Tamandua tetradactyla: one gene and its partners. The protein of the gene in region 1 interacts with the protein of each later gene in a pairwise test. Links are inferred from orthologs where the notes say so. Each region holds a gene or a part of one and is shown in the gene's direction. Other genes may lie near its edges. The genes, in order: CCDC102B, GOPC, ENKD1 and SPG21.

Region 1 (6,965 bases):
CCCAGAAGCTGGAAGTCAATGGAACCCGGAAGCGAGAGGAAAGGACAAGACATCGTCATGGGATGCAAGTCAGGGACACAAACCAAGGGACCCAAGGTTTGCTGGCAGCCAGCACCAGAATGTTGCAGACTTTGTAGAAAAAGCATTGCCTTGTGACACCTTGATTATGGACTTCTTCTAGGTTCAAAATCATGAGCCAATAAATTCCCATTATTGATGCCAATACCCTGTGTGGTATCTGTGACAGTAATTCAGGAAAGCTAAGATAGCTTCTCTACCTCCAGCCTCCCATCCTTGTTCAAAGAAGGAAGAAGGAGGTGAATGGAAGAGGGAGTGTCAACCATATCAGGAAAGAAAAGTTTTTGCAAACATGCCCATTTTATCAGCTAATATCAGCTAATGTTTACTGGCAGAGCTGTGCCACGTGGCTAAGCATATCTGTATGGGGAGCTGGGTAGTGTAGGTTTTTTTTTTTTTTTTTTCTGACAATGTTGTCCAAACAAAAAACAAAATTCATTCTGTAGGGAGGAAGGGGAGAAATTAGACTGGGTAGGAAAGTAGTATCCACAGGGAGGACCTAATATATAAAATGAATTGCAATCAACTAAAAAAAAAGTGTCAGCTCTTCTTTGGTACCTACTAAGTGCTTTAAGATATCGTGAACTTTTCAACAAATTAAGAAACCTCAAAGGCTGAATTCTCTCATCTCTTTTTCCTGTGCCCCCACCGCTTGTTGTGGAGTATGGAATGTTAAGATAAGGTTGTGTGTGTGTTTGTGTGTGGTGTCAGTGCAGCCTTTGAACTAGGATAGAGGCACTGGATAACTTTGTTTCCCTAATACCCGTGGGTCCCATGATATATATATATATATATATATATAAAATATATTTATATATTTTTCAGCATGGGCAGGCTCTGGAAATTGGACTCAGTCTCTGGCATAGCAGGTGAGAATTCTGCCACTGAGCCACTATTGCACCACCTGGTCCCATGATATTAATCAACAAAAGTTTTTAAACGAGAGTTGGCAATAAGAAATAATAAGCAGTTGCCCTCCTACGCTTTTTGAACCAAAGGGAAATAGGTCATGGGGAATCAATAGCCTTCACTTGAGAAAGCTACAAATGAGACAATGCTTCCTTTTATAGGCAATTTTTTACTCATCAGTAATTTATAAATTTGCCAGTAAAATATTGATATGGTGAGTCAAAAACCTGATCAGTGTGGATTCAGAAGAGATGGGAGGCAATGAAGTGGAGAGAGAGAGAATCAGACAATTCTTTCAAGTTTTACTATAAAGTTGTGTTATTTGAAGAGTGAAGAAGAGTGGGAATTCAGGAATGACAGATAGGTTTCTAGCTTGAAATACTGGGTGGGTGGTAGTGTCATTATTTTATATTGAGAATACAGGACACATAGAGGTTTTAGAAAATATATAATGGGTTTAGTCCTTGGAGATGGTAAAGAGAATTAAGTGGTTCCTAGTGAGTACTCTCATGAGACAGAAATGCAGATCTGAAGCTTGATAAACTGCTTTGGGCTGGTCATGTAGATTTGGGAATTGTATGTATGACAAAAGAAGCCACAAAAACAGATGTGATCACCTGAAGAGAAGATGTGCGTAAGAGAAGGACCAATGATAGACGCTTGGAGCTATTGCACCATCAAAAAGAGAGGCTAGTAATAAAGGATGGTGTTCAGGACCTGAAATGGTTAGTAAGATGGAAACATATAAATCAGAATAGTGTTCTGGTAACCCAAAGAATGTTTTGTGAAGATAAAGCTGTAAATCTAAAACTGTTTAAAAATAAAGTTTATTATGTAAATAAGCTAGCTAACTAATTAAGTAGGAAATCTTCAGAGATTTAGACCAGTAAGAGTACTGGAAATAGGCCACTGAACTAGACTCATACCACTGGAACTACTCTGTAACTTTACTAAAAACAGAGAGGAACAAGTTTGGGGCAGGCAAACAACTCATGAAGACACTGCACTGGTTCAGGCAGAGTATGCTGGTGCCCTGAATCACTGTAGATGGCAGTGGAAAGAGAAAGTACTGAGTAAATTAATGAAGTAAAACCAAAAGACACTTACTGGACATAGAATAGAAGGAGTCAAGGATGACTTCAGGAGTTTTCTTTAAGAAATTGTAAGATTGGCTTGGCCGTATTGATATAAGCACAGCAGGTCCATGGAAAAATTGGTGACTTCAGCTTTAGACTTGTTCACTTTGACATATCTATGGTATTTTCAAGTAGAAGTGTACACTGTGCAGATATATGTAAGTGTGGAACTCTCTGAAGAGGATTGGGTCCAACTGTAGATATTTGGAGTCTTCTGAAAAAGAGATGGCAATTAAAATCACCAGAGGAGGATATGGATTTAGATGAGAACAAGGTATTGATGTACACCAAGGCATGAAAGGAGAAAGGGCACCGCTAAAGAGTGAGAAGACACAGCAAGACTGGTCAAGAGGAAGACCAAGAGAGTATTGTGCCAAGAGAGGGAGTTTTCATCAAAGCCAAGAAAGGAGTGTCTTCTTATAGACTGGTGGTCAACAGCATCAGAGGCTGTGTAGATGCTAAGAGGACTGAGGACAGAGAGGAGTCTATGAAGTATAAAAAAAAAGTGTTTTTTTTTATCCCCCTGTGTGGTGTACGTGTGTATTTTCAGGAAGAGGCATCTTGGTGCAGTGATGGGGGTTGAAAGTAGATTAAATAAGAAGAGCGCTCTTTCAATCATTTGACCATGAAGGACAGGAAAATGGGACCTGGAAGTGAAAATGAGATCAAGGGAAGCCTGTTTTGTTTGTTTTTGGCTGAAGGATTTAACTGTGTCTAAAAATCTCATTGGGAAAATCCAATCAAGAGGGAGCATTCAAAGATACAGGAAAGCTGAGAAGATGGGAGAAAGGGAACCTGAACTCCAAAGGACTGATTGTTTTATACCAAGAATGGTCATCCTTTCCATGGCATCAGAAAAATCAGGAGGGAAGGTAGCTATTCAGAAGAAATAGATGATAGAATTGTTAATCAATGACGACTATTGGGAGAGGACATATATTCTGTCTTTCCAATGCTGTTTTCCTGCTACTTAAAAGAAGCATACTGGTTTCTTTTCCTCTGCCCTCTCCCTATTTCTTTGAGCATTTTCTATTGTTGGTTTTAACCAGGGAAGTTTTCTTTTATGTGGTCTGCCCTCACCCCTTCATCAGTACACTTCCTGACAGCTGAGTCATGTCACTGGAAAAACTACTCTGTTTTTCCCCCAGGGAAAGCAGCCAGAGAGCTCTCACTGGAGGCCCTAGAGACTTGAATTCATAATTCCTGCCAACATGACTGAGATCAAGTGTTTTGACATATAATTTTTGAACCATGATTTGCATATGTGAATATTTTATTAAATGCTGTTTCTTTTTTCCTTTTTGCTGGACAATCAAAACAAAATTAGATCAGGCACATTGCATTTTCTATTATTTCTGTGATCTGCAGTATAATCTTGCTTTAAATCTTTTGCAGATAAGATACTTTAATAGCTTTTCTTTGTTTTGGCATTTTAATTTTTCTATTACAAGTTTTGCCTATTGTTAAACATGAAACAAACTTGTGATTAAAGGTACGGGTCGTTTCTTCCTTTTTCACTCATAGCACATAGTGTCAAATGAATTGAATGAAAAAATTTGGATAACCATGCTTAGTTAGGAGACATTAAAAATGATTTTAATTTGATATGTTCGCTTGTGTTCCAAAAAAGGGTGTTAAGGTATCGGTTGTGATAAATCTTCATAACCAATAGGAATCCTTTTTTGAGTTTCTGTGGAGTGGCCTTAGTTTAGGAAATAATCTCGTTGGCCAGGACCCCAGAGCTATACAGATGAGAAAAGGATGCAGGAAATTCTGTTGTTTACACATGTGTCTGTAACACTGAGACGTTAGAGCAGCCCAGCAAGCCCAGAGGGTAAGAGTGTTTAATAACCTTGTGGTTTTCTATTTAATTTTTATACTTTCCTGCTGGGGTAGAGCATGTGTTGTTTTCTGAGCAAGGAAAAAGACAGTTGCTTATAAGAGGCGGAACAGAACTGCTGTTGGTCTGTGAAACAGAAGGATTGGAATTTCTTTTTAAAGTGGACTTGATCTCATCCCTTACCTTTCCTTTTTTTCCCACTGTTGGTGTTATTTATCCTGACAGCATGTTATATATTTCCTGCCTTTAAAAAATAACTATATGCTAAACAAACTCAGGTAAGAATTTCAACTCTAAATTTAGACAGTAATATAATATGTTGCTATTAAAACCTTGTTTTTAGTTTCAAATGATTAAGGGTTAATAAATGTGTTTGAAGTAATCTGTATTCTTACAGTAAAAAAGTAAAATTGTTATGTAAATCCTCATGTTCATGCTCCATGCACTGAGTTATTTTAATTTTACTATCCTCATGTTGAATTCTTGTCATTGTTAACAGAAAGCTATACTTCAGATTTAGCACTAATATTGATTTCTATACATAAATAACTTGGATATGTGGAAGAGACAGGGATACAAAATAATATCCTACACATCATCTATAGGAAATGGACATTTATATAGAAAACAACTACAGAAATGAAGGGGAAAAATGCTGGAAATCATTGGGAAGTATTTGCTGATGGTTTTGAAAAATAAACTATAACATGAATGTTGAGTAGGTAAGTCTATCAAGTGGAAATATAAGGAAAATATTTTTAAGACAAAAAAATTGCAATTAGAAATATGTAAATAGCATATGACATTGAATACACAATGATGTGCTGGCTATTTTCAGATATATCAACATTGGTTTTTCTTTTTTTCTAAAAACATGGGGATATGTTTTTGATTATCTTTTTGATGGGAGAGGGGTGTTGATAAAATCTTTGATTAGATTTTTTGTGAATAAATCCTTTTGTTTTCAATAAATGTTCTCACAGATACATTAAAATAATCTTGAACTTTGACTTTTTTCCCCATATAAAGGAATCTTGAAAAGCTAGTGATATATTAGATGTATAAACTTCATGTGATTTTGCAACATCATTTTAAACCATTAAAATCTGAACAGTGTTTAGAAAAATTCTTTGTTTTTTGAATTTTTTCAAGAACTCTTGAAGAAATAGTTTTCTTATGAAATAACAGATCATTTCATCATCTCTCTATTGCGTTCTTTATATGTTTACATTGGATTCAGTAATTGCCTGATTGGGGGTGTACCTTCTTGAGAACTCAAATTGACTTGGCCTCAAGTGACTTTATGAGGGTCTTCATCTAAGTCTTTGAGTGACAAGGATAATGCCAATAACTCTTAAAAACATGAAAAATGATCTCAGACCATCTTGATTTAAGTATCATTTCTCCCATTTTGTTATTACAAGGTAATTGGACGCTGCCATAAGGCCAAAATCTTCAAATATTCCCTTTTAGCGTGGATTTTAGGGCTAGAGAAATTTGAGAAGCTATGAAAGAGAGGTCTGACTTCTTGAGGTGAGTCTTGAAAAATCAGTGGAACTTGTATAGCTGATGAGAAGGAAAAAGAATATTCTACTTTGGTGAAGTAGTTAGAGAAAAGGGTTTGAGGCATGAATTTCCATAAAATGGGGAAAGATGGTGAATGATCAGCCGGCTTGGAGAAGAAAATATATATTTCTGCAGTAGCAGGCACTGTGCTAAGTAGCCCGAATGGGGCAAATTTGTGGAGTGTCTTCAAATATACACAGCGTAACTGTCTTTAGATATGAAGTGCCTGTTCCCCTTTTTATCATCATCATCATCATTATGAACATACTTCCCATCTGCAAGTTGACTTGCATACATGTGCATGTTGATTTACATATGTATACATATCTACAGGTTTTATAACTGTGCAGTAAACTGAACATTTCACACATAATCTTCATCTGACACATGAAGGAATCTGTTCAGACACATTAAATGATTTATTTAAACCCACAACTGTAGTAAGTTTTGGAGCCAGGACTCAGAACCATGTCTTCCTGGCTGCAGAGCTACTTTCACTCTACAGCTCTGGTGCCTGAGTGTGAACCTGGCAGAAGTGAAGCGGACTGGTTTGCAATGAGTCTGGGGTAAAAGGGAGGAGGCACAGAGGCCACCATCTGAAGGTGAATCCCAACCCTTGGTAAGTCTGAGCTAGTCACAGTTCTCCGAAGGGGTCCACTACTCTCTTTGGGAAAGAGAGAGAAGTTGATACTGGAAATAAGGAGAGGCTTTTACATTTAAATTAGCTGCTGCAATATTCAACCCTTAGGCTTTTCTCTTATTTTCTTAGATGTTGTATTCAAAGGAGATCTCTTTTGCTGTCTCAACAACAACAAAAAACTGTCTATTATTGATTTTCACTGAACATTATTCACAAATGAAATCAATGAAGTGACTGGGTATGATACTGGGAATACTTTGGGAATACGTTGGTCTTCCTTTGATTGTTTATCATGCTTGATACGAATGAAGACTTAGTGACCATGTGCTCCTAAAATTAAGGAGGGACTAAGTTATTATCAATGAAAAGTATCATATATGCTTTATTTCAATTGGTGAAGAGTATATATAAAATCTGTTTGCAAAGTACCTAATACAGATTATGAGGTATTCAAAGTAAAAATAATATAGTCTATTAACACTTTTCCCCCTTACATATCCAAACCTTAAACATATTAGTTTAGTTTTTCTCAAAGTAAAATAGGACTAGCATCAGAAACAGCAATCAGTTTCTTCTTTTATGTGTCTTAATGTTTCTAATGAAACAAAAATATTGCCTTACCTTACTATATCATGGGATTTTGGGATATATGTGTGCATGTGTATTTGTGTGTTCATCTGTGTGTGTGTATATATATATATAAATGTATATAATACATATATATATAAAGGATTTCAATGCCATCATGTATAAAACCTGCTATCTATTATTTAAACGCCTTCTGTAAGTTAATTAG
Region 2 (7,951 bases), on another chromosome or scaffold:
TATATGAAATTTTACATATTCTCCAAAGATAATTTTTTTACACAGAGGTGTGATCATAAGGCGCCTTAAAATAGTCCATTAGTATTTTATGTGTTTTTAACAACAACAACAACAAAAAACTGTCTTACCCTGAACTTTTCAGAAAAAAAAACCCTTATTTTTATGGAACAAAGAAACATATTTACCTTTTCCTCTTTATTATGTACTGTCCATCACAGGAGTACAGAAACATTATTTATCAGGAATCCCTTAAAAACAGGAGAAAATAAAATCAAGGGGATAATACAGGGAAAAATCAAGGAAATAATATGGGTAAAAGATAGTACATTTCATTTTCATCATTTTATAACTAATAACAAAGAACATATAACATTATTTGATAATTGCAACAGATACATATATATTTCATGTCTTTTTAGTCGGTTATATCAGGAAGAGAGCCAATGGGAGAAAAGAGGGCAGAGATAAACAGGGGGACACAGAAAGAACTGCAGAGACACACAGAGGCCCAGAAAAGGAAAAATGGAGACTGTGCTGGTTTGAAAGGATTCTGTGCCCTAGAAAAGCCATTTTTTAATCCTGATCATTTTGAGGAGGCAGCTGTTTCTTTCAATCCCTATTCAGCACTGTAGACTGGAAATTTGATGAGATTATCTCCATGGACATGTGACGCGCCCAATTGTGGGTATTAGCCTTTGATTAGAGGGAGATGTGACTCCATTTATTCCAGGTGGGTTTTCAATAGTTTACTGGAATCCTTTAAAAGAGGAAACATTTTGGAGAGAGCCATGAGAACCACAGAGCCCAGGCAGCCAGAGAACTTTGGAGATGAAGAAGTAATATAGCCCTGGGGGAGCTTCATGAAACAAGAAACCTGGAGAGAAAGTTAGCAGATGTCACCATGTGCCCTTCCAGGTGAGAGAGAAACCCTAACGTCACCTGCCTTCTTGAAACAAGGTATCTTTCCCTGATGTCCTAATTTGGACATTTTATAGACTTGCTTAATTGGGACATCTTCATGGCCTTAGAACTGTAAACTTGCAACTTAATAAATTCCCCTTTTAAAAGCCACTCCGTTTCTGGTATATTGCATTCTGGCAGCTAGCAAACTAGAACAGAGACCTTAAAAGATACTCCCACAAAGGAGAGAGGCTCAGACTTGGGATGTTTAGACACGTAAAGACCACATAAAATTGGTTATGTAATATATGTATTTACGATTCTTTCACTTGCTATTTGCCAGGTCCTCGGTAGGGTGGTGCTTTGTATTCCTTAAATCATTTAATCCTCACATCAACCCTGTAAGAGACATACCATTACATTCCTTGTTTTATAGATAAGGAAACAGATGCTAGAAGTTAGGCAATATCCTTAAATTCACACTCCCAGGAAGTGGCTATGTTAGCTATATAACCAGCCTGATGTGGACTTGGCTGCTTACCTGCAACTATAACTTCTCCGAGGACTAGTTGCCCCATTTGTAAAATGTAAATAATGCTACATTTCCCAAAGTGTTGTTAAGGAGATAATGAATGTAAATTGCCTCATAAAAATTTTCCTATATGATAGGCCATCATTGAATATTAATTCTTGACTCTTGGATTAATTTTCCTTTCTCCTGGTTACTGGAAATTAAATGAAATGTGTGAAGCTTAGTACAGGGTCTGGACACATTAGAGTTCAATAAATGGCAGTTTCCCTCCGTCTCCACTCCTGGGTGGATCTTATATGTTTCTTTATTCATTCCTGTGCCTTTGCATTTCATGGTACTCTATAAATGTTTGAACCACAGCTAATGACCTGTATCTACCAAATGAATTTTTAACATTTTCTTTCTTCCCCCAGTTTCCTTAGTTCCCACCCTGTTTATTCCTAGTAATACTTTGTGGCAAAACTCTGGAGTTATAAGTTCCTTAAAACAAGTCTGTACATTTAAGTTATATTAGAATTTCATAATTTCAAAAAAATCACATAAGCATTATACATGAGACAGTTCGTGGAGGTTTCTGCCAATCTAATTAGTAGTATGATGACTTCATTATATTTGGAAAATAAATCCCACAAGTATTGAGCTTATATACGATTCCAGAGTAGGTCAAGATAAGGCAATGATGCAGCTAGAGCACACTGACAACAGATGGCAGCACTTGAACGTTAAAACCTACTTTTTCACGTTATAGTTTGGCTGCAATATGCAGAATTATAAAATCCCAATGTGGGCAGATAACAAGTTTACATAAAGGGCAGATAACAAGTAGTCACATACTACCAAGACGGCAAACACGTAGACGTGGTAATGAGAAAGGACAATAAGGAATGAAAATATCCTGAGGGACAGGGGTGTGACTTATTGGAACTTTAAACATTGTAAATGAAATAGGACCAGGTTCTGAAATCCTGAAAAAGGGGTAATCACCAACAATTAGGGCACTGGACACATGTACACTTTTGATGCTGTCTGGCCATACTCACATAGTACAGCAAAAAGTTGAATGATTTATTCTTAAAAGAAATGAAATGTATTTTGTGTAGGTCCATAAGTAATGTTGGCAGTATTTTTGTAATTTCTTCTTAGATGTTAATAGATTTGTAATTGGCTTATAATTGGGAAGAGATTATTTTCCTTTTGGACTGATTTGTCATTTTGTTATTCTGGGGACAAAGAAATGGATTTTCTTAATCCCCCTATTCCCCACAGTTGATGGCAAAGGCTCTGGAGAAAAAGGCACCTAGACTGAGATCTCAGTTCAATTACTGTTTGTCTTAGACTCACTGTAACTCAGCTAGAAAAGTGACAAAATGATCAAACATGTAAACAAATAGTACAAATGCCTACCACATAATGAGAACTCAATAACTGATAGCTACTATCATTAGTATTGTGACTCCATGTATATGCCCTTTGTCCATTTTGAAATTATTTACTTCAAATTCCTGAAAATCCATTGCTAACTACATTATCTGTAGAGAAGTTGGCCAGGACATGTTGTAGTGATGTCTTTGTGAGTACTGCAGATGAAAATACTGAAATAATGGAAAATAATTTTGGGAGTAAGATGCAAATTTTAGTTTTATATTATTCATTGCCTATGAAAACCTGTATGAAGTTGTGCATTTAAGCTCAGGGCAAGGATTTCCAGGTTAGTTCTGCTTAGCTAAGTTTGCTAGAGCCACAGGACTCTCTTCCCCCAGTTTCCTCAGTTCCCACTTTGTTTATTCCTAGTAATACTTTGTGGCAAAACTCTGTAGTTATAAGTTCCTTAAAACAAGTCTGCACATTTAAGTTATATTAGAATTTCACAATTTCAAAAAAATCACATAAGCATGATTCATGAGACAGTTCATGGAGGTTTCTGCCAATCTAATTAGTAGTATGACGACTTCATTATATCTGGAAAATAAATCCCACAAGTATTGAGCTTATATACAATTCCAGAGTAGGTCAAGATAAGGCAATGATGTAGCTAGATACTTATCAGCCTGGCCTGTAGTATACCCAGAGAGCAAACTACAGCTGTGATTTTTTTTTGCTCCGTCTTGGTTTTGGTGCGAGTCACACAGTGTGGGTTTTGCATGATGATTGATTGGAACTATCTGTCCCGTCAACAGATCAGGGACAAGTCTGTAGTTAGCCAGAAAAATATTCTCCTACATAATGCAGTAGAGACAGTTCCTACAAGTCTGTTCAAATCAGACTGGTTTCTCTTTCTCTGTCCAGGGCAGGGCGACTCTTGAAATGAAAGGGGATGAGAAAGCAGTTGCTAAACAGTTGCAAAAGTACTGCAAAAATCATATTAAAGTTGTAACTGTGAAGATTAGTAGCCTCACAAGTCTATGACCTCTGCTCGAGTGAGGGTCATATGTGTTCCCAATGCCTCCACAGGGTTTGGCATTCAATATATTTATGAATATATGAATATTCCTTAAGAACAAGAAGTAACACTAAATATAGTACTCTAATGCCTTTGATTGCTTTGTTCCCATTCAATTTAATATATGACAGTAAAAGTACTGCGATTGATTTTCATATATATATATTTTATATATATAACACAAATCACACATTTTGTAACCCAAAATATGGTTTCAAAAAGAAATCACCAGGTTGAGTTAAAACGGTAAGTGGAAAAAAGCCATTCCTTATGGTCATGCACGTCAATTGCTTCGTTTTACTGAAATGCTCTGTGCAAGAATATTACCAGTTTTTTAAATGATAAAACGTGATTCCTTCAACAACGTACACTTTTTAAAATAGTTGCTTTAGAAATGTGTGACCTGTGGTGTAAAAATAAAAGCTAACGCCATGCGTCAAGCACTGGTGCTAAGCGTTTTACCTTACTACTGAGTGAAATAAATTTTGGAAACAGAGACTTTGAGGTTAAAAAATACAACCACGGTGGTGCAACTAGGATGTGGCAGGGTGTAACATTTGAACTCAGGCCTGCCTGTCTCTTACACAGGAGATACAAAGGTCTCTTTATTCAGCAACACCTACTCAGCCACTCTCCGCCAACCCGGCATTAGGCAGTGCCCACACAGTATTTAGGGCCTATTTAACCAAAACGCGCCAATGTGTCCGTCCACCCCACCCACCAAACCTAAGCAGGAACTGGAGAGGAAAAGGGGAAACGTGGCCATTGCGCATGCTCACACCGCCATTCCTCGCTCTCCTTTTCCCGCCCCCGGACGCCACTTTCCCGGACGATTTTAGAACGGCTTTTGTCCACTGTGAAATCAAACCGGTGGGGCCGTTCCTTCCTACGACGTGGATACGCTTCTCTTCCTCGGGCCTTTCCAGCTTGGAAGCACACACCGCGCGCCTACTACTCGCGGACCCAAGCTGGAGTTTGCCAGTCCTCAAGATGGCCGCTGACAGGCCGGGCAGAGGCCTTTCATAGGCCAACGTCGCCTCCTAGCCCCGCCCACCTCGTCCTTCCCGGCCGCCGGGCTCTTGGCTACGCATGCGCAGCGGCGGCGGGCAGGGAGGTGGGACGGGTCGTGTCTTCCGTGTGCCACGGTCGCCGCCTCAGCCTCCTAGGTCTTGCCCCTCGGCGGCTGCATTGCCGGCTTTGGCCCCGCGAGGGGAAGGAGTGACCCCACAGAGCGTGCGTGCGCGGGGGTCTCCGCAGTCCCAGCAGTTCTCCTCGCGCAGGAGTCAGCAGCAGGCGGGGGAGGCCCTCGACGGCGCCATGTCGACGGGCGGCCCGTGCCCGGCGGGTGCCGGTGGGGGCCCGGGGGGCGCCTCCTGCGCCGTGGGGGTCTCCCCCGGCGGGGTATCCATGTTCCGATGGCTCGAGGTGTTGGAGAAGGAGTTCGACAAGGCCTTCGTCGATGTGGATCTGCTCCTGGGCGAGATCGATCCGGACCAGGCGGACATCACTTATGAGGGGCGACAGAAGATGACCAGCCTGAGCTCTTGCTTTGCGCAGCTCTGCCACAAAGCCCAGACTGTGTCCCAAATCAACCACAAGCTGGAGGTGAGCTGCGGGCGCTGGCGGGGGCGGCCTTCACCCCAGGCTGCCCCGGTGGCGTCAGATCTCATTTAGACGCACCAGTGAAAGGACCCCAGAAAACTGCCCACTGGGACAACTGGGCTTCGATGTGTCGGTGTGTGGAGGAAAGGAGGGCGGTAAGGTAGGGGAAAATGAGGGGTGTAAACCTACGTGTCGGTCACCTATCTTATCTTGTACCTTAATGAGCAGGAAACGGGAACTAATTACACCAGCCACCCTTGTACGTTTTATATTAACAACCTAAGACTTAAGCCCAAAGACTGTTAGAACAGCTTTTGACATTTGAGGTTTGCTTCTCTATTTTCCCATTGATGAGCCCAGGTTTATATATCCACCACCCAAATAGAGCCCTAATTACTTTTATTTTAACTATTCCAGATCAGCATCAATGGTCGCACACGGACATACTAGTTCCTGCATGCATGGACTATTTAGGGAGAATTTGATCAAAGCTCTTAGGAAAGTTTAGTGGCATAAATACGATGGTATCATTGCCTTTCTCGGTTTACATCCACAGTTGGTCCTTAAATTGCAGGCAGATATCTCCTGAGCTCCCAGCGGTCATTCAGATGACTTCTAACAGTGAGGTTTATACGTTTGAATTTTACTGTATTTCCCAAAGTCTGCATTTGTTTTTGAGAGTGAGTGAACAATGATCATTCGGTGAACTCTCTAAACTAGAGAGTGAATATGGGTGGAACGGTGGTGGTTACAAAAAAAAAAAGCCTACCAGATGCAGAAAATTTTCAGGCATTATTACAATAATTAGAAATCATGACAGGTTGACTTTATATAAAGAGCATTTTCTAATTAAGCAATTTAAATGAGAGAATTGGTCTTTCATTTTTAATTACATAATAATGGGATAATCAGTGATGTGCAAAACTTTTTAAACATTAGCTTTCCAAGAAATCATCATTGCTATCAGTTGTAATAGTTGAGAGTGCCCATTAGATCCAAAGCAATATGAATATCATATATACATCTTCTCTTTGCTTAGTGGTCAGCATTCTCTTTCTCTCAGTCATTTTTAAAACTGGCATAATTAACCTTTGCTTAGTGTTGATTTGCATATTCATGATTTTCTGGCTCTTTGCTGAATGACTGTTAATTTCTTGCATCCTTTTTTGGGAAGATTGGAATGCATGTGAAAGTAATCACTTCTTATTCTAGGTAAATGAAATGTCTTGATTTTTTGATTAGTAGTGATTTCTAGAAGATAGTTTTTCAAGTAGTGAAATTCTGTTTGAGGGTTTTTAGAACTAGTACTTCAGCCTTAAATAACATAGCAAGAGTAGCTTTTGCTGTATTAGAACTTTTCATATTATTTTTACAAGGATCTACTGAAGATAAACAGCTTATAAAAAAATTAAACAATGTCTAATTTTTAAAAACGATTTAAGGAAACTTTTAACAGTGATATTTTGATGCCAGATTTAAAGTTAATTTTGGAGAAGGGCTCATTCTGTCAGTAGGAGGTGGTGCTTAATTTTTTTTATCTTTAAACATTTTAAATGAGTATTCAAAGCTGTAATACGTTAATGCATGCTCTTTTTTTCTTTCAGAATTTATAATTGCATATGCTGACTCCTTGTCCTGGCTAAGTGGGTAGTATTATTTCTCAAAAAAAAGAAATGTTAGCATATCACAGATGAGCCTGTTTTTTCAACGTGCTTGAAACCCTTGGGGTATAGGTCTTAGAAAATAGGAAGAGAAGAGATTTAACTTGATTTGTTCTTTTTTTTTGGTTTATTTTCTGGTTACAGTTGACTTACCTGTCTGTTGTGTTGATCTTTCCAAATTTAGCAATTTTCCCCTTTCATAGTACAATCCAGGTATTTCTGAGGAGAGAGTTTCATGGTCACAGTGCCTTTCAAAGTAGATCTGCTGCTGTAACCATCTGCAGAATTTCAGGGGTTGCTGCATATAGTGTTATCAATCTTCTGAGGTCTTGATACTTAGAAAAGATTCCCATAGCTTCTTGCCCTATTTTATTTCTAGTAGACAATTGAATTTAGTTCTGTTGATTTAAGTATGAGGACATTAAGACAGTATTTGAGGCCACTTATGGTTTGATAAAATAAATGTGTGCCAGAGTTCAGTAATTTTATAAATTAATTCCTTAAACCATATTACTGCAATATAATATTTTTATATAATCAAAACACAGATACAGTCAGTGTGGGTGATTTATAATATATTTAAATTGGTCTTGAGTATCCTTCCAGATTGCCCCTTCTACTGCCCTGTCATTGTGTCTCTGTAAAAACTGAGCTTAATATAAATATTTAAACAGTTTTACTGCCAAAAAAAAAAGTTACGATTCAAAGTTATATAAAAATGACATCCTTGCCTCTGCTTCTTGCCGTAAGTTATGCTTGGGGAAAAGGGTAGGAGAAGGCAGAGAATTTAGGATATTTTGAGGTGGTGCCATTTCT
Region 3 (7,956 bases), on another chromosome or scaffold:
GTCCCTTAAATGGCTCCAGCCTTGTCCTGCAGCACCCCCTCCTGGAGGAAGGCAGCATCACTTCCTGGGACCTATTTCCTAAATTTTAAGGATAGCAGCCAACTCCTGTCAAAGTTATTCCAGGTCGGTGATAATGCAGTAACCCTCTTAGTTATTCCCTCTAACACAGCAACCTGAAGAGAACTTCTGAAGTACCTGTTGCTTATTCTCCAATCCCAAACCAAATCTAGATCTTGTACTAACCCAGACAATGACAGCAGCCTCCCCACCTCCCTGTCCTCTCTCCCTCCCCCATTCTATCCTTCACACCACAGCCCAAGCAACCTTTCCAAAATTCAGATCCCCCTTTGCATACACCCCTTCTCATCACTCCTTGTCACTCCTAGACTGGCCAAACCTGGACTCTTGATGGCCATGCCCTCTCCTTCATCCACGCTTATGCAGCCCTCCTGTATGGAGCTGGCTTCTCCCACACTGGCAGCCTTCATCCCTCACATATCATCTGGAAGGCTACTCAAATCTTCCCCCTCAGGACTCAGCCGGGGGGTTATCTTGACCATTTCTTCTCCTCCCCCAAGCAAAGTGGCAGTCACCCCATCACCTGTGGACCCATAGCCTTGGTTCTTGGCTCTCCTTGTGACATGTGTCTCCTTGAATCATTCTGCCTCAGCATTTTCTCTAGAGTGAGCTTCTAGGATCAGTAGTGGGTAGGGACTTGTTCCTTTCTGTGGCTCACGACACCAACCCCTATTTAGACAAGCTTGCCAGGTAATAGCTTACCAGTAAATGTAGACTGTTTTCTCTTCTATGATCACCTTGGGGTATTTCTTACCTCATCTGTAGGAAGGTCAGGGACTGGAACTTCCTTGTCGGTGCTGGCCTTGTCCATACCACACAGAGAAAGCCAATTCTTGGCCTTCTTGGGATCAGGTCTTAGGAGAGAACCCTCAGGCCCATATGTTCTGCAGGACTCAGGGAAGGACAGGCCTCACTGGATCCCAGGGTGGGGTCTCATACAAAGGCTGCTTCTGCCCAGATACTTCTTTAGCCATAGAGTGAGGAGGTCAAGCTCCATTATCTTGAAGGGCCCTCTACCTCTGGAAAATCCTGAGGATCTGAGCTCAGCCCTGTGGATAAAATTGAGTCTCAGGACATTTTCTCCTGGGAGGGTCAACTCATTGCACTAAGGAAAACTGGGCAGAAAGTAGAATGAATATCCTGACTGCATGGCCTGCCCTTTGGCCTTGCATAGGACCAGTAAGCATCCAAGAAACCCACAAAGGAGGGAGCAGCATGGGATGATGCTAGGAAAGGAGACCATGTACTTTTCCTTCCTCCTTCCTCTACCTGGGCCTGCCTACCTCATGCCTTCTGATGACCTAATCAGGCCATTATTCCAGGGGTGCTACACATGGTTCTGGACTTCGGATAGCCTCAGCCTTTCAGATCCTGATCTGACTCTGCAGCTCCCTCAGCTCCTCATCTTAGTCTCCCAATCTTGCAGCCCTTGTGGGTACCCTCTGCTAGGCAGATGTAATGCAACAATGTTGTTGCCTTTGGGAGTTCACAGTCTAGTCAATGGCACTAGTATGTAGATGTTATAATGCAGAGGCAACACTGGACACTGCCTGGCCATGCAGGAAGTGAGTGCCCTGAGCCAGGTGAAGGGGTGAGGGGCAGGGGAAGCCCTACATGCAGGTAAGAAAAGATGGGGCTGGTCAGGGAATTAGAGTAAGCCACTGAAAAGTTTTGAGGCAACCGGGGCAAAAGAGGCAGATGCTAGAGGGGAGTCATACTATCAGGGGTTCAGGTGCATGTGTAGTAGGATCACTGAATGGACTGATGGGGAAAGTGAGACTTTCTCCAGGAGATGACAGTGTCCTCAACAAGGGTGCTGTCTGTGGGTTCTGAGAGGTTCTCAATCTGAGAAGGTAGATTCTCTGGCCTTAATGCCTGATTGTAAGAGTCAGAGAGCAGGGTTGAGTCTGAGACAACATCCAGGATTTTGGGCTAGAACAACTGTGAAGATGAAATGCAGGAGAAAAGGCAGGTTAGAAAGAGAAGAAATTATTCATTTAATTTGGAGTTCCCTGCATCTAAGGTGTCTGGGGGATACACCAGAAGACCAGGAGGCAGCAGAATGTGAGGGTTCCCAAAATGATCATAATGGCCAGCTCTTTCCAGAGGCTCCAGAAGGCTGGAAGCAGCATTCATTGATGGTTTGGCTGCAGGATTCCTGGAAAGACATTCACATCCACCACCACCCCCTCTTAGTTTCTTGGGCTGCCATAAAAAGTACCACAAACTGGGTGGCTTAAAACAATAGGAATTTATTATCTCATAGTTCCAAAATAAAGTGTAAGCAGGGCCATGCTCCCTCTGAAACCTGTAGACAAGAATCCTTCCTTGCCTTTTCTAGCTTCTGGTGGTTGCTGGCAATCCTTGGTGTTCCTTGGCTTGTAGCTGCATCACTACAGTCTCTGCCTCTGTCTCCACATGGCCATCTTCTGTGTTCTCTCTCTTCTTATAAGGACACCAGTCATAGTGGGTTAGAGGTCTGCCCTACTCCAGTATGACCTTAGCCTGATGTAATTCTATCTGCACTGTTTCCAAATAAGGTCATGTTCATGGGACCAGGACTTGAACAAGTCTCTTGGGGAGACATAATTCACCTCATAAGTCCCTCCCTACCAGGAAAAAGGCACCAACGCCTCTGGCACCAGGGACCACTCCTTGGGCAAGGTCTGGTCCAGCTCTAGTCTTGCAATGTGTGGAAAGTGTTCTAAAGCCAGCTACCGGAGGGGCAGGCAAATGAACTCTGCGACCTCACAGGGGGTGGGAGGAGATCACAAGTGCTGGTCCCCTTAAGGTCAGAACAAATGCAGGCCCCCTCCCTGGAAAACGGGGTAAGGCCAAGCACCTGCTTGCCTTACTGACCCTTACCTTTCTCTGCCCCAAGTTCTCCTTATTTCCCTCCCTCTCTGCAGCCTCCCTCTGCAGCTTCCCTGACCAGCAGATTCATCTGAGGAACTTTTAAATATATGGAACCCAAGCCCCACCCTGCAGATTCTGATTTCAGTTAAGTCTGCATAGCACCCGGAAATCTGTATTTGTTAAGTTCCCAAGTGATCCAGGTGACCAGTAAGGCTTCAGAGCATACACTGGGGAATCCTCTCACCCTTCTTCCCAGCCTCTTTCCCTCTTCAGTTGTCTTATTTGGGGAATCACAAAGTCTGAGAAAACGAAAAATTTTTATTGTCAGCGAACCCAAGGTCCAGCAAGTGTGGTCAGGAGCCGAATTCCCCTCCCCCGATTCTTCCTGAGGGCCTAGGCCCACAGGCTGCTGCTCTTGGGGGAGTGGCAGCCACCAGTGGGGTGGGATAGTCACTTGTACTGAGGAGATAGTGGGGGCACAAGTGGAGCAGCACAAACACTCAGCATCTTGTCGATGTCCACCTGGGTCGATTTATCCACCTCAGCCTTCAGCTGGCTGCAGGACTTCAAGCTGGGTACACACCCAGACTCCTCTCCAGCCTCCTCTGCCAGGAGAGCCAGGGCATGGGTGGGGGCCACTAATGTACTGGGGCAGGGCAAAGCAAGGCCTGAGCTGAGCTCACCTGCCACGGGCAGCAAGGCCTGCAGTTGCTCCACTCCTGCCTCTTCAGGGACTATGGCCAACTCTGAGTCAGGCTCCACCTCAGCCTCCGTCTCCCTGTCCCCCTCCCCTCCCTGGTTCAGCTCAGGATTGTAATAATTGATGTACTGGTACAGGGGCCGCAGACGCTGGGCTTTTCCTGCAAGGACCCGGGGCAGGGAAGAGGCTGGAGCGCCAAGGTGTGCCATGTCAGGCAACCTAGTAAGCAGGGGTAAAAGGGGAGGCCCAGAGGCTGCCACTCACGCTCCAGCCTCAAGGTCTCTGAAGGTGCAGACACTGTGCTGGCTGCAGCTGGGTGTGCTGGAGCCCCCAGACTCTTGCGCTTCTTGACTTTTTTATGCTGTTTGGCAGATGGTGAGAGTTCGCTCTGGCTGCCCTCTGGCTCCTCCCTCTGCAGCAGTGGTCCAGGTGGCATCTCAGCTTCACCTCTAGGATGGGCATTGTGACTAGGTCCTGGAAGGCTGGGGTACCAGAGCCAGGGACAGGAGGCCTGAGGTGGCATCTCCACCCGCTGGCTCCCATGCCCAGGATCTAGGGATTGCCCTCCTTACCCACTACCCAGGATCAGATAACTCTCCTTTCCTGGTCAGTGAGGCCCCAGGCTGGACCAGGGCTCAGAGCTCATGTGAACTCAGTCCCCTCCAAGGCCTTGAGGCTCCTCCTCTTTTGGTGCTTCCTACACCAGGGCTCTTGAGGGACAGAAGGAGTGGGGGTGATGATGGTGGTGGTGGCAAGAGGACAAGTTTCAGGGGGACAAGGGGACTCTGCAGGAATGCAGGCTTTAGGAATCCTAGTGGAGTGTCAGTCCCATCCCCCAGCCCTGAAGCCCCTTCTCTCTCAAAGCCCCCTCACTTGACTGGCTTCCTCTTGGGACTCTGACCAGGCCTCACAAGAGAGGCCATAGGCCTGTGGCCTTTCTCCTCCAGGGTGTCCTCTGGCTTCAACCTCTCCTCTGACTTGAGTCGCTTTTCCTGGAGCTCTGGCTCTGAGGCTGATTGCACTGGACACTTGTCTTCACCCTAGGGCCAAAAAGCCTCATTGACTGGTACCAGACACTGGTCTCCTGTCACTGTACACTAGATGTGGCACATAGGTAATTGGTCACTCGACTAGACAAAGGATACAGGAATCAGACTTTAGATATCAGACACTCTATAAAAGGCACCGATGTGCCCCTTTCCACCAGTGTAGCGGGTCTTGGAAGTTACAGGGCCTGGATCCCCAAAAGTTTGACCCTCTATGCCCCAGGGGGCCTTGGCCTAAGTATTTGAAGTCTACAAGGACCGATGGTCACCTCAGAGCTCTTAGCACGGTGACCCGGCGCCTGGGTGAGTGGTGCGGGCCCCACGGCAGTTCCCTCCTGGGTCCCCAGCCGCCTCTCCGCCCCTGCTGAGGCCATGACTGCGTGGGGTCAGCACATCCTCGATGGCGGCTTACGGGGACGGACCCTATTGGTCGGTTTGGCGGACCCCGCGCTGACCCGAGAGAAGGGCCTGGAGGCGAGTGCCGCACTGGAAAAGGCGACTGGCAGCCGTTCTACGCCTACCTTCAACTGGAACTGCAACTACAAGCCCCAGAAGGCTTTGCGCCAGGAGCACTCACCCTTAACCTAAGGGACGGAAACCACTGTTGCTAGGCAACAGCAACTTCCCTGGTCGCCGCGACAGCGGGCTACAGAACTGCTCTGGTGAGACCCCGGCTTGGGTGTTGTGGGGGAGGGGCCGCGAACAGGGCAGGAAAGTGGGCTCCGATCGGATGTCGCGGAGGTGGCGAGCGTGGGCCAGGACTGAGGAGCGGGGCGCGGGACGAGAAGGGGGCCGGGAATGGGGTGCACAGCTGGGGTCAGCGTCCGGGTCGGTGGACGAGGCGGGGGACTAGAGAGGGGATCCAGGGGCCGGGAATACGCAGCCGGGAGGCCTCGGTGCACCTTTGCAGGGCAACGGCGGCGGCATGTGCGAGGGCCTGTCCCGCATTTCGGGGCCCATCCCCCCGGATCCTACGCTCTGCCCAGATTACTACCGTCGGCCCGCCTCTGGTGAGTCGGGAGCCTGGCCGCGGCAGGTTGGGCCCGGGGCCGGCGCCTGCGCCTGCGCCTGCGCCTGCGCCAGCTCCGAGACTGAGCCCGGCGCTCCTTCCCTCCCGGGCCCTTCCCTCTTCCCCGCAGCCCAAGGGCGCCTGGAGGGAAATACACTGAAGCTGGACCTGCTGACTTCGGATCCCGACCTGGATGCCGCCCTTCTCCGCGGCCCCTGTATCGGTCCCGGAGCTCGAAAGATACAGGAGCCTGGCAGGCGTGGTGCGGGGGACGTGTTGCTGCAACTCGGGGGCATCTCTCTGGGCTCAGGGGCCCCTTTCAAGAGTAGGTCCCGGGAAGGGGGAAGAAGGGACAGCCAGACGAGTCGAATCGGAGGTCTAAAGCGGAATGAAAAGCGCCCACTCTTTCCCCGACCTAGGACAGGCTTCTGCCCCTCTTGAGTCAGTTTCCCCAACCATAAAAGCAAGAAAACAATCCACTACCTCTTCGCAGGAAAGGACTGAAGGAGGTAGTCCCGGGGAAGCCCTAGCTCAGCTTCAAGCATTCATGCATTAATGCAGTGCTGTTTTTTGAGTGCCTACTGTGGGCCAGAATTTACAGGTGCTAGAAAAACAGGTGAAGGCAAGCAGGATCCATCATGATCAAGGTGGGAGACGAAACAAAGAGATAAGTATGTACAAGATGATTGATGGTATTACACAAAAACGTAAAACGTAGTCAAGGATGGAAGAGTATTACTGTGTAAAGACAGGAACTTAGGTGGAAAGGTCAGGTAGTTCTTTCTGTGGGAGGGGTGGGCCTGTGTGTGAATGGGAGAAAGCTGGATTGCATGGGGGGTATGTAGGGCAGGGCCTACAGCATCTCTTCCCCAGGGAAGGACACCAAAGACCATGAGAAGGAGAACCTGAGGCGGATCAGGGAGATCCAGAGGCGCTTCCGCGAGCAGGAACGCAGCCGCGAGCAAGGCCAGCCCAGGCCCCTGAAAGCTCTGTGGCACTCACCCAAGTACGACAAGGTGGAGTCCCGGGTCAAGGCCCAGCTACAGGTACCTGCCTGGGGAGTGAGAAATAATATCAAGCTTGCCCATCAGCATACAATTATATCCTGATCTGGGTTATGGGGAGGGAAGAAATCACAGGGAACTTAAGTGACAGAGGACTGAGAGATAACTGGCCCTGCTACGGGGTAGTACTGAGGACCTTCTCAGAAGTGGTAATGGCTGGACTGATCCTAAGGGACAAGGAGAAATTAGGCAAGAGGAGAATGGAAGAGAACATTTCATAGAGGGAAAACCTCCTAGGTAGACATCCTGAGGCCAAAAGTCGAGTGGACAATGAGGTTGCTGGGTGCAATTAATACTGAGGGAAGAAGAGCACAAGGTAGGCTAAGAAGTCAGCAGGACCGACATCGTAAAGGGCTACATATGTCACCTTCAACCTTTATTTCTGAGGGTAGCAGGAAGGGTAGGGGTGTGGTGGTAGGATTCTGTCTTTCCTTGAACAGGGACTTCAGAAGGAAGAGCAGTGTTGAGAGAAAAGAAAACAAGGTCACATGTGGATGTGCCAAAGCTGAAGTGTTTGTGGGACTGCTGGGGGACCCACAGGAAGCAGGTGGCTATTCAATTCTGGATCTCGGAAGTGAGACCCAGGCACTCCAGAGGATCATATTGAGGACGATAAGACCAAGGAAGTGACCCTTGGGTTTGAGGGCATGGAGGTCAGCTGTCAGTGAATTTGAGTGGCCAGAGCCAGGAAGCTTGGCTAAGAAGGGGAGAGAAAGTAATAGCTAGAGCAGGATTGAGACAAAGAGGGGTGGCTTGTTGTTTTCTTAAAAATATGAGAGACTCACACAGGTTTAAACATTGAAGAGAAGTGTTTCTGTAAGAGGGATGCCAATAGGGACTGGGATAGAGTTCCTGAGAAGCAAGAAAGATGGGCATGGTCTTATGGCTTGAGATCTTGATATCAGTCTGACTGATCCCCCTTTTGTGCCCTGCCCTCCAGGAGCCTGGCCCTGCCTCTGGGATACAGTCAGCCCATTTCCTGCGGGCACACTCCCGCTGTGGCCCTGGGCTCCCACCACCCCGTGTCCCCACTTTTCCCCTAACCCCAGCAGGTCCCAATGCCAAGGTGAGAAGACGCATGGGGGCTGGGAACATGTTGGGCAGAGGTTTGGGGGCGCTCTAGGCACAACACAGTGTGCCTGCCCCCTCCATGTTTGCCATGTCCTGCAGGGGCCAGGCCCAGGTGTGGACTTCATTAGCCAC
Region 4 (7,774 bases), on another chromosome or scaffold:
ATAGGGCAGATTACTTAAACTTTTAAAATTCTGATTTCTTAGTTTAAAAATATGCCTTATGGGAGAGAAATAGACATGGAAAATGCACAAGGCAATGCCTGCACATAAACACTCAATAAATTGTCAACAGTCTGATACTGCTGTAGTCTCTGCTTTGGACCTGCAACAATATTTTCTCCTCTGGATGGCAGCAAGAGCCTTGGTCTAACAGAAGGAAAAATGATTTTAGAACAGTAAAGGATCTATTATTTAGTAGCCCAAAATTTCATTATAGCAATGATAAAATGGGGTCTGGGAACAGTTAGCTAGTAACACCAGTCTAAGAACCCAGAAACTACAGTAGATTGTTGGTTTTTTTGTTCTGGGTTTTTTTTGTTTGTTTGTTTGTTTTGTATGCTGTATGGCATGTTCACATTTCATTATTTTGCCAAATGAGTATCCCATTATTGCAGCCCCATTTGTTGAATTATTGTTTGTTTTTTGGGAAGTACATGGACTGGGAATTGAACCTGGGTCTCCTTCATGGCAGGTGAGAATTCTTCCACTGAACTACCCTTGCCCCCCCCCCCCCGTTCTATTTTTTAAAAAGATTTTACTTTTGGTTTGGTTTGGGGGATAAAAGATGTTTCTGAGTGTAAAATTTAGTTTTCAAGAATGGCTCTTGAAAGGATGTTTATTGCTTTTATACTTTGTATTGAAGGCAGTTCAAAACTATTTCTCTTTATACTATCTTTAGAGGCAGAGTCTTTGAGTCAGACAGATCTAATGTGAACCATGATTCTCCCCTCTGATCATAAGCCTAAGCTGTTTACTTAACTTCTTTTGAGTCTGCTTCCTTATCCACAAAATGAAAGTCATACCTATTATGCAAGGATTGTCATGAGGAACAGAAATAATATATGTAATGTGTCTAGCACAGTGCCTGGAACACAGCAGATTCTTAATAATACTATTAGCTAATACTTTTATTGAGTACTGGCCACATGTCTAAGACATGACATGAACAGTCGTTATTTTATTTTTACAGTTACCCTGCGATAGTAGAATTTCCTCATTTTTTCAGATGAGATAACTTAGGTACAAAAAAGGTTAAATAAATACCTAGTAAGTGATGGAGCTAGAACTGACCCCCTGGTAGTCTGACCATTCTACTCCCCTATCTGTATTTGGAAATATTTTCATCCTTGATCAGGGAGTTTAATGTCTTAGGGTTTGATATTCAGAAACTGAGAAATGAGAACACGTTAGTTAATTGAGTACCCATTATACAGGTTCTGTGCTAGGTGGTTTCAAAGAGATTTTTCTTATTTTAGTCACTATTTAATCACTGTCTTTTTTTACCTGAAGAATTAATAATACGTTGTAGAAACCTGCCGAAAGACTGCTGCTTTTTGTGGTAAAACAGTGCACTCTTGTTTTCCAGGATTCTTTTTTGCTGTGCTTCCTCCAAAAGGCAAACTAAAGCATTAGCATTTAGGAAAGGATCCTTAATGAGATACTGAGTTGGCAGATGCTACAAAAGCTGTACCTTTGCTTAGGAACTTTTTATTTTTAGAAGTTGCTTAGGAAATTTCATTTTAAAAGGTTAATAATGGGGCGGGCAGTGGTGGCTCAGTGGCAGAGTTCTCCCTTGCCATGCCAGAGACCCGGGTTCAATTCCCAGTACCTGCCCATGAAAAAAAAAAGTTGTTACAAAGGATAGTGTCTTTGACCAATTCTTGGGAAAAAGTAATCCATAAAGCTTTAAAAAAAAAAAAAAGAGAGAAAGGTCGATAATGAACAAACATTAACATCGCCAAGAAGTTCAAATACTGTTTCCATTAAATAGTCATTTTTGTGTGCAGGTTAATTCTTTAAAGTTTTATTGGAAGCAGGAGAGGGGAGATTATCAGAGAAGGGAAGCTTTGAGGGCCAGCCATTGTAAATATTCAATAAGTCTCCTAGATTTATAGACTCTAAAATTTTATAATTAGAAAGAACTTGGAAATCATATGGGTCAACCTTGGCCTCATTTTACAGATAAGGAAACCAGATGTAGAAAGAGGAAAGAAGAGAACTCAGGTTTGTTAACTCTTGCATCAGAACTAAATCAGTAATTATGATAACTATATATAACTTCTGTTTGATAGGCTCTTCAGTTAGCAAGCTATAGAATAACCATGTCAGCATCTTTCTTGGGTGGTTCCAGATATATCTGTGTATGATCCCTATAATACGGTGCGATATGCATTTGACCCAGACTTGGTCTGGCCATGAAGAAGCAGTATTTCATTTCATGGGTCCCGGCATAACTGGTATATAACATATAGTTAATTGTACCCTGAGAAGATTTTACAAGATATTTTAAGAACTGGGTTAGTCTGAAAAATCAGTGTTTTGTTTCTCTTTCACTTTTTCACGCATCTGTAGTTCCTGGAGGTAAAATAGGATTATTCATTCTATTGGGTTGAGTAAAGGGAGGCATTCTTAGAGGGGGAAGAATATACACACAAAAGTCTATAGAGGTTTGAGACCAAATGAAGTGTTTGGGGATGTTCAAAGAGTTGTTGTGATGAGATCACATGATCCCATCGATAGCCCAGTGGAGCTTGAAGTTTAGCTGAAGGCAGTGGGGAGCAATTGAAGGATTGAAAGCAGGGGAGTCACACAAAAATATAGGTACTTTTAATTTTTTTAATCACACAATATATGAATCATTCTTACATAGATTCAAATACTAAATATAAAGCCAAAGTGCTCCTTTACCACTCCTTCCATACCAAAATCCTCCTCAGAGGTAACCACTATTCTATTAAATGTGTATTCTTCCCAACCTTTTAAAAAATGCATTTACTTATGTGTATGTGTGCACAGAGTATATCTAGTATTGTTTTGTAGGTGAGATTTAAAACTGTTTTCAAGGGATCAGTTAAGAGGCTTGGGCAGTTCTGAGCCAGCTGGCCATCTATTTATTTTGCCTGGTGTTCACAGCATATTTCATGAACATTCCAGTTGTTCAGTGTGAGTCTAGCACAGGGATTGGTGCTGAGGGAACCATCTGGCAGACCCCAAACACAACAGCTGCAAACCCTCACAGCCTGGTCCACAAGGTCTGCTTCACTGTGTGCCGTGGGTCAAAAGTTTGCTGTCCGCAGTTGTGCGTTAATAGGACAGCTGGAATTCACAGATATTAAATGTTCCTTGTTCATATTAGCAAATGGACAATCTGCTTGCCATGTGTTCTAGAACAACTGAGGACCCAAACATGAGCATAGGGTCATTTTCTATAGGAAACATTAAAAAAAACCCCATTATTTGTTAGTTATTACCCACCTAACAGAATAAGGATGTGTTTGTATATTATATAAAGAGACAGAGGCATATGTATGGGCATATTCATAGCTGAGTTCTCATTAGGGCAATTATTAAAGTAAGGTCTGGGGATGGGGGATCTAAGGAATACAGTTTTAGGACTACATGTGGATAGATTTATTTTTTCACTCATTCATTCATTCAGTATACATTTAGTAACTTTTATGGGCCAGACCATGTGTTAAGCTCCCAGCCCAGCTGGGGAGATACACCAATAACTAATGTAATGAGTGCCTGCAATGGGTTTTCCATATATCCAGTGACTTGCCAGTTTTTCCATTCACTAAAATACTCCCACATTTTGAGAAAAAACCTCCAAGGTTAAAAATCCTTCTTGGAAACATGCCCCATACACCTATATGGTGTTTATAATAAAGGATTACTTCCTGTGACTGGCTTGCAATTCCGAAAGAGATGATTTGTAGAAAACCAGGAGAGATTATCCTGCTCTTGGGAAATTCCTGGGGTTTGTCCAAGTTCTAGACTGGAACTAAAGCTTCCTGAGCGGGAGGGCAGAGATCATGACTCAGCATGGAATTTAGGACTCTCCCCTGACCTAAATCCCATGAACACTTGTCTGGATCAGGTCAAAGTTCGAAGGTCCATTTAAATAGGAGACACGCTCTCCCTAAAACAGATTAGGGAGAAGCACTTTTAACAGGATCTTGTTGCACTATCTCTAAATAACTTCAAACGGGTAGATTTACATGCTACTTAATCTTCATATTATTTCAGTGCAAATCTGCAAATATTTTACTGAAAAGGGCTGTTTCGGCCTCTGCAACCTCTTGTTTAAAAAGTGATCATAAATGAATTCATATTCTCTGCTCTTAAAACCGCAGTGAAGAAGGTGAGGGAGGCTCTGTGGAACTAAATTCCCGGAAATTCCCCGGGCTGCCAGATTAGGGCTGGAAGGGAAGGGAGCGTTACAGTAGAAGGTTATGGAGGGTGTCTGTGATTGTAACAAGGAAAGAAAAAAAAAAAAAAAGAACTAGGCAAGAAGAGAGTATACAAAGCCCTGGTCACCAAAACCTGGAGCCCCGGGGATCCCCTCAAATCTTCACACAGAGGAGAGGGAACAGTAGGCATCTTCTTCCTCCAGGTGTGCGCGAACGAAATGCAGAAGCAGGTTCCAGGAGGCCGGACACCCCCTTCTCCCTCTCTCACAACTTCCTCCTTGGTGCTCACGTCTCAAAAGCTAGACTCAAAGGCAATCAGATTTCCTCTCCGCGCCGACCACCACCGCTAATCCTACGGCAGGTTCCCGCACGCACCCGCGGAACCGAGAACTCCGGGAGTTCAGACTGAGCTCAAGCCCCGCCTATCGGGGGCCCCGTCGCCATGGAGACCCCCGAGCCCCCGCCCCTTCCCCGTGACGTATCCCTCCCCCGCCGCTGAACCCGGAAGCGCCAGGCGCGCGCCCGCTACGGGGACAGTCGGGAGGGCTGCGCGCCCCGCCCCTCGGAGGCCTGCCCTCCTGCACGCCCCCGCCGCCCGCCGCCGCTTCTAGTCCTGGGTGTCCCGGCTGCGGGCCCGGACTCCGGGCCAGCCGCTCCTCCAGCTCACTCGGGTATTGTAGCGAAGAGCCGCTTTGGGGAGGAAAAGGGTCGTGGGGGCGGACACGGCAGGTGAGGGGTGGGCAAGGCCCTGGGAGGTGGTGGTATGGGTCTCTATTGAGTGTGAGATTGTGGGTGTATGTAAGTGTGCGCGCTTGCCTTGGTCGGTATGATTGTGAATGTAGCCCCGAGTGGGCCGGTCCATGTGATCGTGCACGTGATAGCACTTCCGTGTGTGTGTTTGTGTGGGTGTGTATGTATGTGTGTATGTGTATATGTGTGTGTGTCTGCCTTTCTCTGAGGCCAAGCCAGGGCTCAGAAGGGTCGTAGGTGGGCCTGTGACCCTGCCTTTGTGTGGCTGTCACCGGTGGAACCGGGTGAGGTTGGCTGGTGTTATGGGTCGCCTGGAGGGGTTTGCACAGGGCATCTTCCTGCAAACCCATCCTGGAGCTACACATCTGCAGCCCAGGAACAGTTTTTTTTTTTTTTTTTAGTAAACTTTTAAGAACTCTGAGCAGACGCCAGTTATTTTGGAGATTCTATCTCAGCCTGAAAGTACAAATGTCTTTGTCATTGCTGAGTACCACCCAGGTGTGACGCTTATGAATGGGGGATGAGAAGAATAGCAGGGCTAAAATGTCACTTTTCTTCTTTTTGTTTTTCTGGGGAGTTGTTTTCACAAGTTCTGTATTTATGCTGCTGCTTTGTCTCCACCTACAATGGTCCAGCTCTTATTGGTACAAAAATTCAAGAGACTTAGGAGTAACTTAATAGCTGTGTCTAAATTCTCAAAGCTTTTACACCAAGATAGAGCACAAGATGAGGTGTCACAGAGGAGATGCCAAGTAGGTAGCTTTCCCCCCCACGAGGTATAGAAGATAATGAAATAGGTTCCTGAAGAAAAGAGAGACTAATCTTACTGGAAGAGATCTTAAAACAAGGATAGCGGTGTACTGATGTGGCTAAGCATGGAGGCTTACACTAAAAAGCTAATGCATTGCCTAGAAACTCTTGGGTTCTATTATTTTGTTATTGCTGGTGTTAATAATACAGATTATCCATATGTAAATCAACTAAAGAGTGCAATAAAGGTTGGAAGCCTCTCACTAGATAAGCTGGTTCTGAGACTTCTTAAACACTTGTGAGGGCAATTTGATTGCCTGCAAACTGGAAGGTTCTGTTGAGATTCTGAGGGATAGGTGCGTGTACTGTCTGGCGCACAGTCACAACCTGGCAGTTTTGTTGTGGAACAGCCCAAGGACTGGAGAGGAGTGCATTTCCATTGCACAACCGGAGAAGGGGTTTCCTATCACAAAATTGAGGCTAATCTAGGTGGCCTTTTCCCCACCAGCACGAACAGGTGCTTTTGTTTTTCTGAAGAGTTGAATCTTGAGAGGTCAACTCAGAGTTGAACCCAGCGATCCTCATTCTTTCTTGGTTAATACTGACCAGTTCAATGACAATCTCACTTAACCTTCTTTGCCATCTACAGAATGTTCCTCTTGTGACTTGGAAAAGTATACGCCTTTGGAGTGGATGAAAGAGATCTGGGAGAACAACTTTCCTTTTCATACTGCTCCCAGCTGCTTTTCTTTGCAGCAGTGAGCTTTTTTCGCCTTTAGACATCAGTTGGTCAGCTGCAACATTTGGTATCTGTTTAACCTTTCATGTACTGCCAGACTAGGACAAGTGCTAGAATCACTTGTCTCTACAAAAATTCAGTCACAGTTGGGTGGAATCTCTCCATCCTGCAAGATTAGTTATAAAATATTAGAACATTGACTTGGCTGGGAATAACCCTGAGGACTATTGGTAAGGAGCATCTTCCTACTTTTGCTGTGGGGAAGAAGCGCGTGTCTGAGTTCGTGAGACTGTGCATCGTGTGTGTGTGTCTTTGTATTGTAGTTTGATTGTACATAGCAAATGAGTCCCAAACTATGATTAACTTATTTTATCTCAGTTTGGAGGATTTAGAAGCAAACTTTCTGCCTTTAATTAGCTAAGATTTGCTTTTTTAACTGTTTAGTAAATCTTATTGGCTAAGCATGTTTTTTATGTTCCCTCCTGTAGAATAGAGTAATTGTTTCTAGTAATGCTGTACTAGGAAATGTCTTCATTATAAAGTATTTGTGTGATATGGGAGCATTTCACATCTGTGTCAGGGTTAAAAATATTCCAGGACTATCTATTTATGTGTTAGTTCTTTTCAATTAAAAAACAATAGCCAGCTTAGAGAGAGGCTAGAGTTTGTTCAGATGGTTTAAATGTTTTAACATGTTAATAATATTGAGCAAGATTTTTAAATGGCTATGCAAAGAGGGATTTTATTTCATTATGACTAATAACTGCATTTATGCTCCCTTATTTTTTTATTTTTTTATTTCTTGGTATGGGCAGGCACCGGGAATCGAATTTGCTCCCTGATTTTTAGCAAAGTACTTCAGAGCAACTTACAATTTTAATGAGTTTTTCTGAAAGTACCCTGTTAGCCTTTAGAGACAAGAGCATTATTATTACAGTGTATAGGTTGTAGGTCAAGTGTAGTTTAGGAATGTCTAGATTCACCATCTTCCAGGGGGTTGTTTAGTAATCCTCCAAGGTTAGAGGTAACAGTAGAGACCCCAAGGGCCCTGTGTTCTTTAGAGTATAGATCTGGAAGGCCAAGAAAGATGCGTTCCATTGAGTTTAGAGTCCTGTGCTCCTTGCCAGTCCTGAGAACACCCTCTAAAATGACAGTTCTGGGTCAGCCCATGAGTTAAGTTCTAGAGTCTGGAATTCCTCTTAGCCCTGCAGGGGAAGCCAGGCTTGCCCCAGGGGCAGGGGGCAGCGTGCAAAGCCAGTAGTGATTGCTTCCAGTCCTTCCAGTT

What was found.
Region 2: the proteins of CCDC102B (region 1) and GOPC interact in binary tests that used the Homo sapiens proteins (3 or more experiments, as listed by UniProt). The two-hybrid records come from large-scale screens. The link is inferred for Tamandua tetradactyla from reciprocal best matches to the Homo sapiens genes CCDC102B and GOPC.
Region 3: the proteins of CCDC102B (region 1) and ENKD1 interact in binary tests that used the Homo sapiens proteins (3 or more experiments, as listed by UniProt). The two-hybrid records come from large-scale screens. The link is inferred for Tamandua tetradactyla from reciprocal best matches to the Homo sapiens genes CCDC102B and ENKD1.
Region 4: the proteins of CCDC102B (region 1) and SPG21 interact in binary tests that used the Homo sapiens proteins (3 or more experiments, as listed by UniProt). The two-hybrid records come from large-scale screens. The link is inferred for Tamandua tetradactyla from reciprocal best matches to the Homo sapiens genes CCDC102B and SPG21.

Annotation. Positions count from the first base shown.
Region 1 is NC_135344.1:13,477,672-13,484,636, reverse strand, and holds the start of CCDC102B (coiled-coil domain-containing protein 102B), read left to right. Parts: upstream 1-3,965; 5' UTR 3,966-4,224; coding exon 4,225-4,241; intron 4,242-5,783; exon of another isoform or gene 5,784-6,148; intron 6,149-6,965. UniProt on the Homo sapiens protein: During interphase, forms fibers at the proximal ends of centrioles to maintain centrosome cohesion. During mitosis, dissociates from the centrosome following phosphorylation to allow centrosome separation. Contributes to CROCC/rootletin filament formation.
Region 2 is NC_135331.1:178,461,175-178,469,125, reverse strand, and holds the start of GOPC (Golgi-associated PDZ and coiled-coil motif-containing protein), read left to right. Parts: upstream 1-4,945; 5' UTR 4,946-4,961; coding exon 4,962-5,477; intron 5,478-7,951.
Region 3 is NC_135342.1:61,397,950-61,405,905, reverse strand, and holds the start of ENKD1 (enkurin domain-containing protein 1), read left to right. Parts: upstream 1-4,941; 5' UTR 4,942-4,949; coding exon of another isoform or gene 4,950-5,054; 5' UTR 5,055-5,342; intron 5,343-5,590; 5' UTR 5,591-5,605; coding exon 5,606-5,690; intron 5,691-5,819; coding exon 5,820-6,014; intron 6,015-6,562; coding exon 6,563-6,735; intron 6,736-7,693; coding exon 7,694-7,819; exon of another isoform or gene 7,820-7,923; coding exon 7,924-7,956. Other genes in the region: C16H16orf86 (uncharacterized protein C16orf86 homolog), read right to left, coding at 3,385-3,821, 3,899-4,116, 4,508-4,674, 4,950-5,054. UniProt on the Homo sapiens protein: Microtubule-binding protein which regulates microtubule organization and stability. Promotes the stability of astral microtubules and facilitates the proper orientation of the mitotic spindle.
Region 4 is NC_135340.1:81,792,706-81,800,479, reverse strand, and holds the start of SPG21 (maspardin), read left to right. Parts: upstream 1-4,769; 5' UTR 4,770-4,979; intron 4,980-5,416; exon of another isoform or gene 5,417-5,498; intron 5,499-7,774. UniProt on the Homo sapiens protein: May play a role as a negative regulatory factor in CD4-dependent T-cell activation.